Linked DNA regions of Sus scrofa. The protein of the gene in region 1 binds, or shares a complex with, the protein of each later gene. Links are inferred from orthologs where the notes say so. Each region holds a gene or a part of one and is shown in the gene's direction. Other genes may lie near its edges. The genes, in order: GRM5 and HOMER1.

Region 1 (4,382 bases):
AAATATGTGTAGGAAATGGAAAGAGTTTAAGCGGCTGAGTAACACCGTGAGAACCCCTTCTTACATAGGCCCTGCCTACTCACTTGAGTGCTCTGAGCTGGTTCTTAATGATGAAAACGGATGGGAAACACTGTGGTCCACGTTCATTCAAAGCTAAGTGCCCGCCCCCCTCCCCAAGGATCCAGTCTATGACTTTGCATGGCCTATGCCCCAGCCAATGGACTAACATTTTATACATCAGACTTAATCACATGGCCAGAATCATCTAGTCATTAATGCACCTTAATTTTCCTCACTATTTTTGTATTTTCTCATCTATACCACCTTTCTCATCTTTCTTATGCAAGAGGATCAACCAGAGCTTTGCTGGCCTCTCTACAAAGTCATAAAGCTTGCTTTGTGGATTGCAATGGAAGAATCTCAAAAATGAACAATGCCACCGTCAGAGTACACATGAAAACGGGGAAAAGAAAGATGCCACTGTCAAGATCAACAAGGTGTGATAGATCCGTATCTCTTTCTTGTTGAATATTGAAGCTATCAAAGAACAACTTGCCTTGCTTTCAAGGGTCTTGTGGGAAATCTACATTAGCAATGTATACATTATAAACGACCTCCTGACTTCAGTGTCTTCATCTTTTAACCTTTCACCCAATTGCTGCAAGCACGTGGCTCGGGAAACTCTGGTGGTAATAAACATCATATTGCTGCAAGGCCTTTCCTTTCTTTGCATTAAGCCATACGATTAATTTATACCTTTTTTTTTTTTTTTGAGGAAGTAGAATGGAAGACTGCTTTTGGAATTCAAAGATAATCTCAGCATTTTTTTTTTTTTAAACAATCTCGGTCAGTTTCAGGGGTAGTAGTGAGAAGGGGAGCAAATCCATTTAAGGAAGTAAAAGATTTAATTGCTGCGGGGGGGAAGAAATTTTAATGGATGTAGAAAGACTCATTTGTAAGAGGTGCAGACAAATGCAAAATGGCATTATTAATAAGTAATGCCATTAGAGAGACCGTTCTTTCTAACCACTCACACCTCTGAATCATCTTGGGGTTCCCTGACTTCCCGGTACCTTCTCCCCTCCAGCAGAGACGCCCCTTCTCCCAATCATTGTCAGGGGTTTAAGTGCCACCGTCAGAAAGAAGCTGATTATCTACCTGCTCCCCCAGCTTCTCTCAGAGTGACACGCCACCCACGCCTCCCTGCATAGCTCTTCTCCTTCCGCGGCTCCCAGAGGCTTCCCAAGGAGCTGCAGAGGGAGCCCGAGGCTACCCTCGCCCGAACCCCATGACTACTAGGCTTCAAGACCCTTGTCAACCACTGAGTGCGCGCCCCGATCGTTCTCCCGCCCCCGCCGCGCGCTGCAGGAGCAGGAGCCCGCCCGGCGCTGCGCTGCCAGCTGCGTCTGCCCGAGCGCGGCACGTGCTCCCGGCGCTGGCGCAAGAGCGCGGGCGCCGCCGCCGCCGCCGCCGCCGCGGGCCCGGGAGCCGCTCTGCCTGCTGCCTCCGTTGCCTCCGTCGCCACCACTAGCGCTCTAGCTGCAACCCAGGCCGCTCCGAGAGCGCGGGGAGCCCGCGAGGAGCGAGTGGCTGGGGGCGCCAGGTTCCGGGCGCGCACCTGGTAAGCACCGCGCGTTTTTCTTTCTTTTGGCTCTAGGGTCGCCGCGGAGGTAGGAGACCTCCGGGGCCCCTCCCCCAGCGCAGGGATGGAGAGCAGTCCGGCAAGGGGCGGGAGCTTGGGCTCAGGGACCTAGGAGGGCAGGTGGTGGGCAGGTGGAGAACTGGTGGAGCCAGGGACGCTGTGAGGTCCTGCAAGTTTAGAAAAGTCACCCTACAAGGACGTGTGGTGTGTGAATCAGACATGACTCTTTCGTCGGGAGCCCAGGCTACCGGGGCGTCGCTCCAAGGCGAGGTTTATGAAAATCTTTTTGCTTGTATTTACATAAGTGAGGAATTTAAGTGGGCTCGTTTCCATAGAAAACGAACTAAAAAAATCAGAGGAGAAAAAAAAATCAACATCTGAGCCAAAGGGAACGTTTGGACATCTCTCTCTTTCTCGCATACCGATACATATGCACGAAAGGGTGCATTTACCAAAGGAGGGGAGGGGGCTTCTCCATCTTTGAAGCCATTAGGTGTCGGTTCGGGGCTAATAAGAGCATTTGCTGGTGCTTCGCCCTGAAAAGAGACAGCAAAAGAAGGACCTGGTTGGGTGTAAATGCCAGTGTTCCATTTCCAAAATGACACTTCCATGACTACACTACTGGGAAGGAGAGGTTTTCTAGAACAGGGGCCATTTTAAGGGGGAACACCTGCAACTCTGGCCCTATTAAGCTCAAGTTTATGTACTCCCAGCGGGGTTAGGAAGACATCCTTACTCTAGGTTCCTTTATGGGACTTTGGCAAAAGGTGGGGTCAGAAAGAGGGATACAGAGGGAGCCGGGGTGGAGAAAGGAGCGGAATGTGACCGAATGGGCTGTGTGGGATGGTAGAAGGAGCAGGAGCTTGAAAGTCGGGTTTGGCATCACTGTTTTCATTTAGTATCACCCTGGGTAGTCCCTGGGCTAGCCTCTAGGAAAATATGTGACCTTGAACAAGTCTCTTAACCTCTGTGTACTGGGTTTCTCAGTCTGCAAAATGTAGAGGCTTTTCTGTGTTTTGGGACATTAAGGTCCCACTCAATGTCTGTCTATGATTGTATGGGTTTGAGGATCTGCATACAAGGGAGGAAGAGCACCTCGAAAATCCAGATAAAGGAAGCTTTGGAGCATTCTCCCTCAAAGTAGCAAAGGCATTTGCAAGCTCCTAGCTGTGCTGTTGGTGTAATGCATGCCAAGAGGTCTGTAGAAATGGGTGAGAAGGACACTCAAACACCTAGCCTGTAGCCAAGAGAACCTGGAGTTCTGAGTGCTGTTTGGAGAGGTTCCGATCCACAGAGCCTGAAGTCACATGCTTTTTAAAAGGTAGCAATTAAAGAAGGGGGTTTGGTGGCAAGCCGTGATGCTCTTTGAATGAGGGTTTGGGAAGTCATCTGGAATTGATTCTAGCAGAAGGAAAATGAATGGCATCCCTTAGAGGTTGGGTTCTCAGGATAACTATTGTTGAAGAGTGAGATTTGAGAATACCGTAATCTGAACAGAAGGGTTGGGAGAGGGCAAGAAACATTCTAACCAACACAAGGGTCCCTAGACTCCTAGAAGGCTACCGGCATCTGCTCAGTGTCCTTGACACCTCTGCCACTTGTCTGAAGAGGGAACAGGTGCACATTCCCCCCTCCCACCCCCCAACAAGCTCCTCCTTAGAATTTAAGGATCTGAGTCCTAGGCATGGAGATGAGAAAGCATCCGTGGGAAAACCCAAGCCTTGGGGATGTTTCCCAGTCCCCCCACATGTGAACATCTGGCTGTGGAGCTGCTTTACCCATCCGGATTCCACCCGAAGTCTGTGTTCCTAAAGGAACTCACTGTGCCACTTGGTGGCACCAAAAAGTTGCGCTGAGAACTCTGTTCTCTATAAATACAAACTACCACCCCTCCCTCCTCCGCGCTCTCCCCTTCTCCCCTTCCCCCCTTTCTCAGTAACAGGGAGATTGCTGCACGCGCCGCCGCCCTCAGCTCTGCTGTTCTGCGCAGACTGAGCGCAGAAGATGAGCTTAAGATCATCTTGTGGGGGAGCCCGGGACTGGAGAGGCCAGCTCTGCCCCGCTGATCCGAGGGGCCCAACTTTATGGGGGGCTAGCTAGACCGCACTTCACCGCCCGCTGTGCGGCCAACAGGGGGGTAAGCTTGCTAAGTGTCTGTGTGCCCAAGTGTTCCCGGGAGGGGAAGGATGTGGCAGCTATCAGCTTGTTGGGTAGCTCACTGTCTGGTTTGGAGGAGGGGGACGAGGGTGGAGCGGGGGTGGCCAGAGCCTCGAGGCTGAAGTCTGCTCCATTTGTGGATGGCTTCAGTTAAACCTGTTGGGGAGAAGGATAAGAGCAATGGGATAAAGAAGGGAATGGCCGCAAGGACTGAGAAGGGGATTCTGCATGCCTTCGGATACGAGTTCCCGCTCATTAAGGCCAGGTGCGGGCGTTTAGATTGCAGACTGGCCTCCCGCGAACCACCCGAGGGCTCCGAATTCAGAGGAGCGAAGGTGGAGAGGAAGAGGAAGGAGAACCGCTTCCCGGGAGATCGGTTAGTTGCGGCGACCGGGGCGCCAGCTGCTGGAAGAGGGGGGACAGCGGGTGGTGCTGAAAGCACAGTGCTTTCACTCAGGCTAGCGTACCTCTTTCTGAACCCCAGTCTGCGCCCTCCCGCTCTTTCCTCTCCTGTGTAAGTAGCTTTCCCTTCGGGCACAAAGCCTGCTCATTACCCCGGAGCAGCAGCATGAGCAGCATGTTG
Region 2 (4,494 bases), on another chromosome or scaffold:
TAAACCTGAAACATAACAGTGTAATCAACTATACTTAAATTAAAAAAAAAGAATCATAAACACTACACATATAAAAAAAGATTTTCATTGATTGCATTATGTAGACCCTAATCCTTTTAAAAACATTTATTGATTCATTTTTTTCTTTCATTTGTAATTTTCTTGACTCTAGAATTATTAAACATTCACAACATACTTGTAGACCTGTCATGAGCAAATAAGCATACACACAAAAATACCCTTTTCAAAGTATAAATATATGAAAGGTACCTTTAGGGGAACTTCTTAATTTTGGTTCTGTACACTAATTTATTAATTTAATAATTTTGAGGTGAAGTCACAATGTAAATCTGACTGCGGTGACTTTTCTCCTTGGGGATTAGAGAGTCATGAAAGTTGATTTAGAATAATTACCAGACATGTTAGTCATGGCAGTTAAGAGACTGACAAAAGTATCATTATACATGGTTTGTAAACTCAGTTTAAAGTGATTAAATCTCTCAAAGGAAAAGGTGGTTAAATCTCAAAAGGTCTAATCTCCCTTTTACCATGTGTTTGGGTTTTTTTCCCCAGGCCTTTGGTGTCCAGTTGATATATTTATCTTTACTTACTTGATTTTTGTTGTTGTTGTTTTGTTGTTTAGGATTAATCCAACTCATGAGATGAAAGAGTAGGGAAAATGAGTTCCATGTATGAAATATTTCCTGATAGAATTTTTAAGTGACTGAATAGAAGATATTTTAAATAGCTTTATTTCTCAGTTAGTTAGAATCTGTTTAGTTGAGTGAAATGTACAGCTTCTTGTTTGTGTTGCATGTTTGTAGTGACCTGCGGGGCACAGAGTAAAGTGACCTGTATTTTGCAAGATTCATGAAAAAAAACGAGATTTTTCCTAGAGATCAAAAAAACTCTGTTGAAGTTTGGAAAGTTGAGTGCCTTTTGAAACAATATAAGGTTTCAGGCTCAGGAGGTGTTTTCATTTCAAAAGCATTGCTGTGTGATAAGCAGTATTTCTATACATTTTAGCCCATCTACAAAAACCGAGGTGAAATTTTCAAACCTTACCGAGCATTGCAAGAGTAGGTAAAACCCTTGAAAGGCTAATCACTCATGGTCTTCCACATGTGAATAAAATCGTTAGTGTCTTACTTTTAGGCACAAACAAATCTGAATTTTTCACAACATACCTCTCTGTATACTATAAAATTAAGACGTCCATCATCACTCTTTTTTTTTTTTTTTTTTTTTTTTTCTTTTTAGGGCTGGCTGCACCCACAGCATATGGAAATTCCCAACGAGGAGTCGAATCTGAAGCTGCAGCTGCCAGCGTACACCACAGCCACAGCAACCCAGGGTCCGAGCCACATCTTTGACCTACACCAGAGCTCACGGCAAAGCCGGATCCTTAAACCCACTGAGCAAGGCCAGGGATCAACAGCATCCTCATGGATTCTAGTCAGGTTTGTAATCCAGAACGGGAACTCCCAGTATCACTCTTAAAAGAGATTTATTGGTGAACTTGTGCTCTTAATTGTAGCTTGATTTTCCTTTTTTCATCTGTCAAAAGTCTAATAACACATTGGTCATTTCTATGCTCCCTAATAAAATACCTGATAAAAAAGATGAAATTGACAACTATCAATGCTGCTTGTTATAGGCAACATTTTTTTAGGGGAGAGGTTGAAATTAATCACGTCTTTGTTATCTTTTGGGGGGGCTTGTCATGACCCTCCACTTGTATTTTATTTATTTCTCATTTTGTTTTTAAAAATTTTCAAAAATCTCACTTCTTTGGTAAGTACAATTGAGTAGAACTTTTATGGGGCAAAATTAAATTACTTTTTAGTGACCTTACAAAGGAAAAAACCAAACTATTCTTTCTCATGAGGTTTTTTTCCCTATGATTAATTGTTAACCCATTATGACTCTTGCATAGCTAAAAGAATTCTAAATATGTAAAACTAACATTTGACTTAGTTAAGATCTGAGTTTCATTAATACGTAACTATTTTATCTAAGGTAGGCTACTAGATGAAAGCAAAAAGTCACTGTTTTCTTTTTTATATCAGAAAATAAAATTATTTATAAAATCCAAAAAATTAGCAGTCTAATCAATACTCTGTCTTCAAAGTACAGTTTACCTTTGCATTTTCTCTAGCTTTCGAAAATTCACTTTAAACCCTTAACACTTAATATTTGCTTCAAAAAATAGTTCTGCTTTATGAACATTTTCTTTTAATGTTCTCCCATAAAACATGAAGCATTTCTATGTTATCTTTGAAAAGAGTTGGCACCAGTTCCTTAAGGCAGAGCTGTTTTAAGAATTGAGGGCTTTTTGTAAAATTACCAAGTTAAGAGTTAGGAATTAAACACAAACAGAAAACCATGCTAAAGGATCACAGATACCAAAGCAGCTTTCATTCCTTTATAAGGTCACTTTAGGTTATGTTTATTTATTATGTCGTGTCTGTTGGCACAACTGGATCCAGGAGTTCACATGCCTGAGTCCAGAGGGCTGTAGCAGAGTGTCCTTGACCCCACCCCACCCATAGAAGGGCTCGCTCCTAATTGGTCCCTGTCAGCGGGCAGTGATAGGAGTGTAGGGAGAGCCCCAACCCCGGTCTGTGTCTCTCTGGATACCATACATTGATTCCTTAAACACTGAGTTCTTAGTGGAGCACACATATACAGTGTAAATTGAAAGGATCTGGGGAATTAGATCCCATTTTGAGTGTACAGAAAAATCCTGATTCCTAGCAATTTGGTATTAGCTGGATGCTCCAATTATTTTTCTGATCATTTTTCTCAATAAATTGTTGGATCCTTTCACCTTTATCTTTAAGCATGCCTCGATCCTCCTTAAGTAGTGTTGCCTGCCTTCTGTTTCCTTTCCGAAGTTTAAGGTTGTTCTGAATAAGGCTTTTTTTTGCGAGTTGGAATTTTCTGCCCTAGTTACTTTCAGTTTCCCCCATTAGGTTCTACATAATGGTCTCTAGGAAATTATCTTAAGTGGATTAGACTATCAAAGAGCTCAAAGTATTCATGTTGGAAAATTTCTGTCAGTGTTCCTTTGTGGAAGAGAAGTCTGTACATGACTGAATTTAGGTAGGACAATTATTTTGAACCAACTGTAATACTTGAGTGGGCTTAACCTATCCTTTTGCCTTTTTGTGCTTACTTTTTGCTTACTCTTTTGTAAAACTGTCGTTTTCTGCCCTACTCTGTAGTTATGAATCTCTATCATCTGGATTTTAGCGTTAAAATTCATGTGCTTTGCTTAATCACCCTGCCAGCTCCCAAGATGTTTACAGAATGAGGATTCCACCTACTCTTGTTTACTCAGTGTTACCAGGGATCTGTATACATTCGGCTGAATGGGAAGACTCCCAACTCACCCGGAAACTCATCTTTCAGGTTCTTTTGTGCTAAAATAAATAAATAAATAAATAGTTTTAGGTCTTGCAGGCTGCCTTTTTGCCTAGTCAACTGATAATATATAGAATTTTAGTTCCCTGTTTTCAGTGTTGCTTTCATTTAGTGTTTTATTGATGCTAAGTTGATATTTATTGCTATCCCTAAGTTAATGTAGGTGAAATAAGACATTAATGGCAATATTGCTGTTTAGTTTTACTTAGTAGCGTATTAGTATATTCAGAGTAGTTAGTATATGCTCTCTGGGTAAACTATAGGCTGTTCATCTGGTAGGAAGCTAGCCTGAAAAATGTTTTCAAAGATGGTGCAGTGGTCAGTTAGAAATGATTATGCAAAATTTTGTATTCTCACCTATATAAAGTGCATTCTATGTATGTGTACAAAGATTTGAAAGACATTCCTTAAAGTGTTACCTTGTTTATTTCTGGGAGGTATGATTGTGAAATTTTGTTTTTTGAGTATTTCTAAATCTGTAAGTTTCTCTGTGATTCATGTATTCACTTCTTTCTTGGGTTTTAAGGGTGAGGATATTAAAAGTGCTAATATCTACGATACAAAGTTATCAGGATCAGTCACTGTTCCTACGTATGGATAGATGCTTTTATGTTTGTATCAGTTTTAGCTTCTTTATCTAATACTTTTTTTTCTGTTTCAAAATTGGCTAAGGAAGTAATTACTCCAATGATAGCAAAAATGGTTTCTTCTATAAAGAGTAGTCTGGCTGTCAGTTACCAGAATGTTGGTAATGCACTTTTTATGGGTAAGGAGCCAGAGCCAATGAGGAAATGTTACTTAGAGGAGGTTATGCAGGGGCAGAGCTTGTGGACAGTCCTTCAGCCCCTTGGGGCTCTTGCCATTAGTTCAGCAGAACCAAAGTGGATGCTAACATCACAGACTCATTTAGACAGGGGTTTCTAATCCCTGATAGTTTAAAAAAGTTCTCATTTAGTGTAAGCTTAGTATCTTGAGAGTGAGTTTTCATTAATGTATCTTGTTTTCCTTTTCAGTGGTACTAAAAGAAACTGCATTCTAATTTTAGTGTGATCAAATCTCTGCTTAATG

Evidence for each region.
Region 2: the proteins of GRM5 (region 1) and HOMER1 are in contact, whole or in part, in a crystal structure (PDB 1DDV), measured with the Rattus norvegicus proteins. The link is inferred for Sus scrofa from reciprocal best matches to the Homo sapiens genes GRM5 and HOMER1. Residues at the interface, in XP_006229721.1 of Rattus norvegicus: Thr1155, Pro1156, Pro1157, Phe1160; in NP_113895.1 of Rattus norvegicus: His12, Phe14, Trp24, Thr70, Ser71, Gln72, Lys73, Phe74, Gly89, Phe90.

Annotation. Positions count from the first base shown.
Region 1 is NC_010451.4:22,435,266-22,439,647, reverse strand, and holds the start of GRM5 (metabotropic glutamate receptor 5), read left to right. Parts: upstream 1-1,447; 5' UTR 1,448-1,621; intron 1,622-3,390; exon of another isoform or gene 3,391-3,779; intron 3,780-3,829; exon of another isoform or gene 3,830-4,175; intron 4,176-4,200; exon of another isoform or gene 4,201-4,313; intron 4,314-4,382. UniProt on the Homo sapiens protein: G-protein coupled receptor for glutamate. Ligand binding causes a conformation change that triggers signaling via guanine nucleotide-binding proteins (G proteins) and modulates the activity of down-stream effectors.
Region 2 is NC_010444.4:88,242,947-88,247,440, reverse strand, and holds the start of HOMER1 (homer protein homolog 1), read left to right. Parts: upstream 1-1,435; 5' UTR 1,436-3,091; coding exon 3,092-3,105; intron 3,106-4,494. UniProt on the Homo sapiens protein: Postsynaptic density scaffolding protein. Binds and cross-links cytoplasmic regions of GRM1, GRM5, ITPR1, DNM3, RYR1, RYR2, SHANK1 and SHANK3.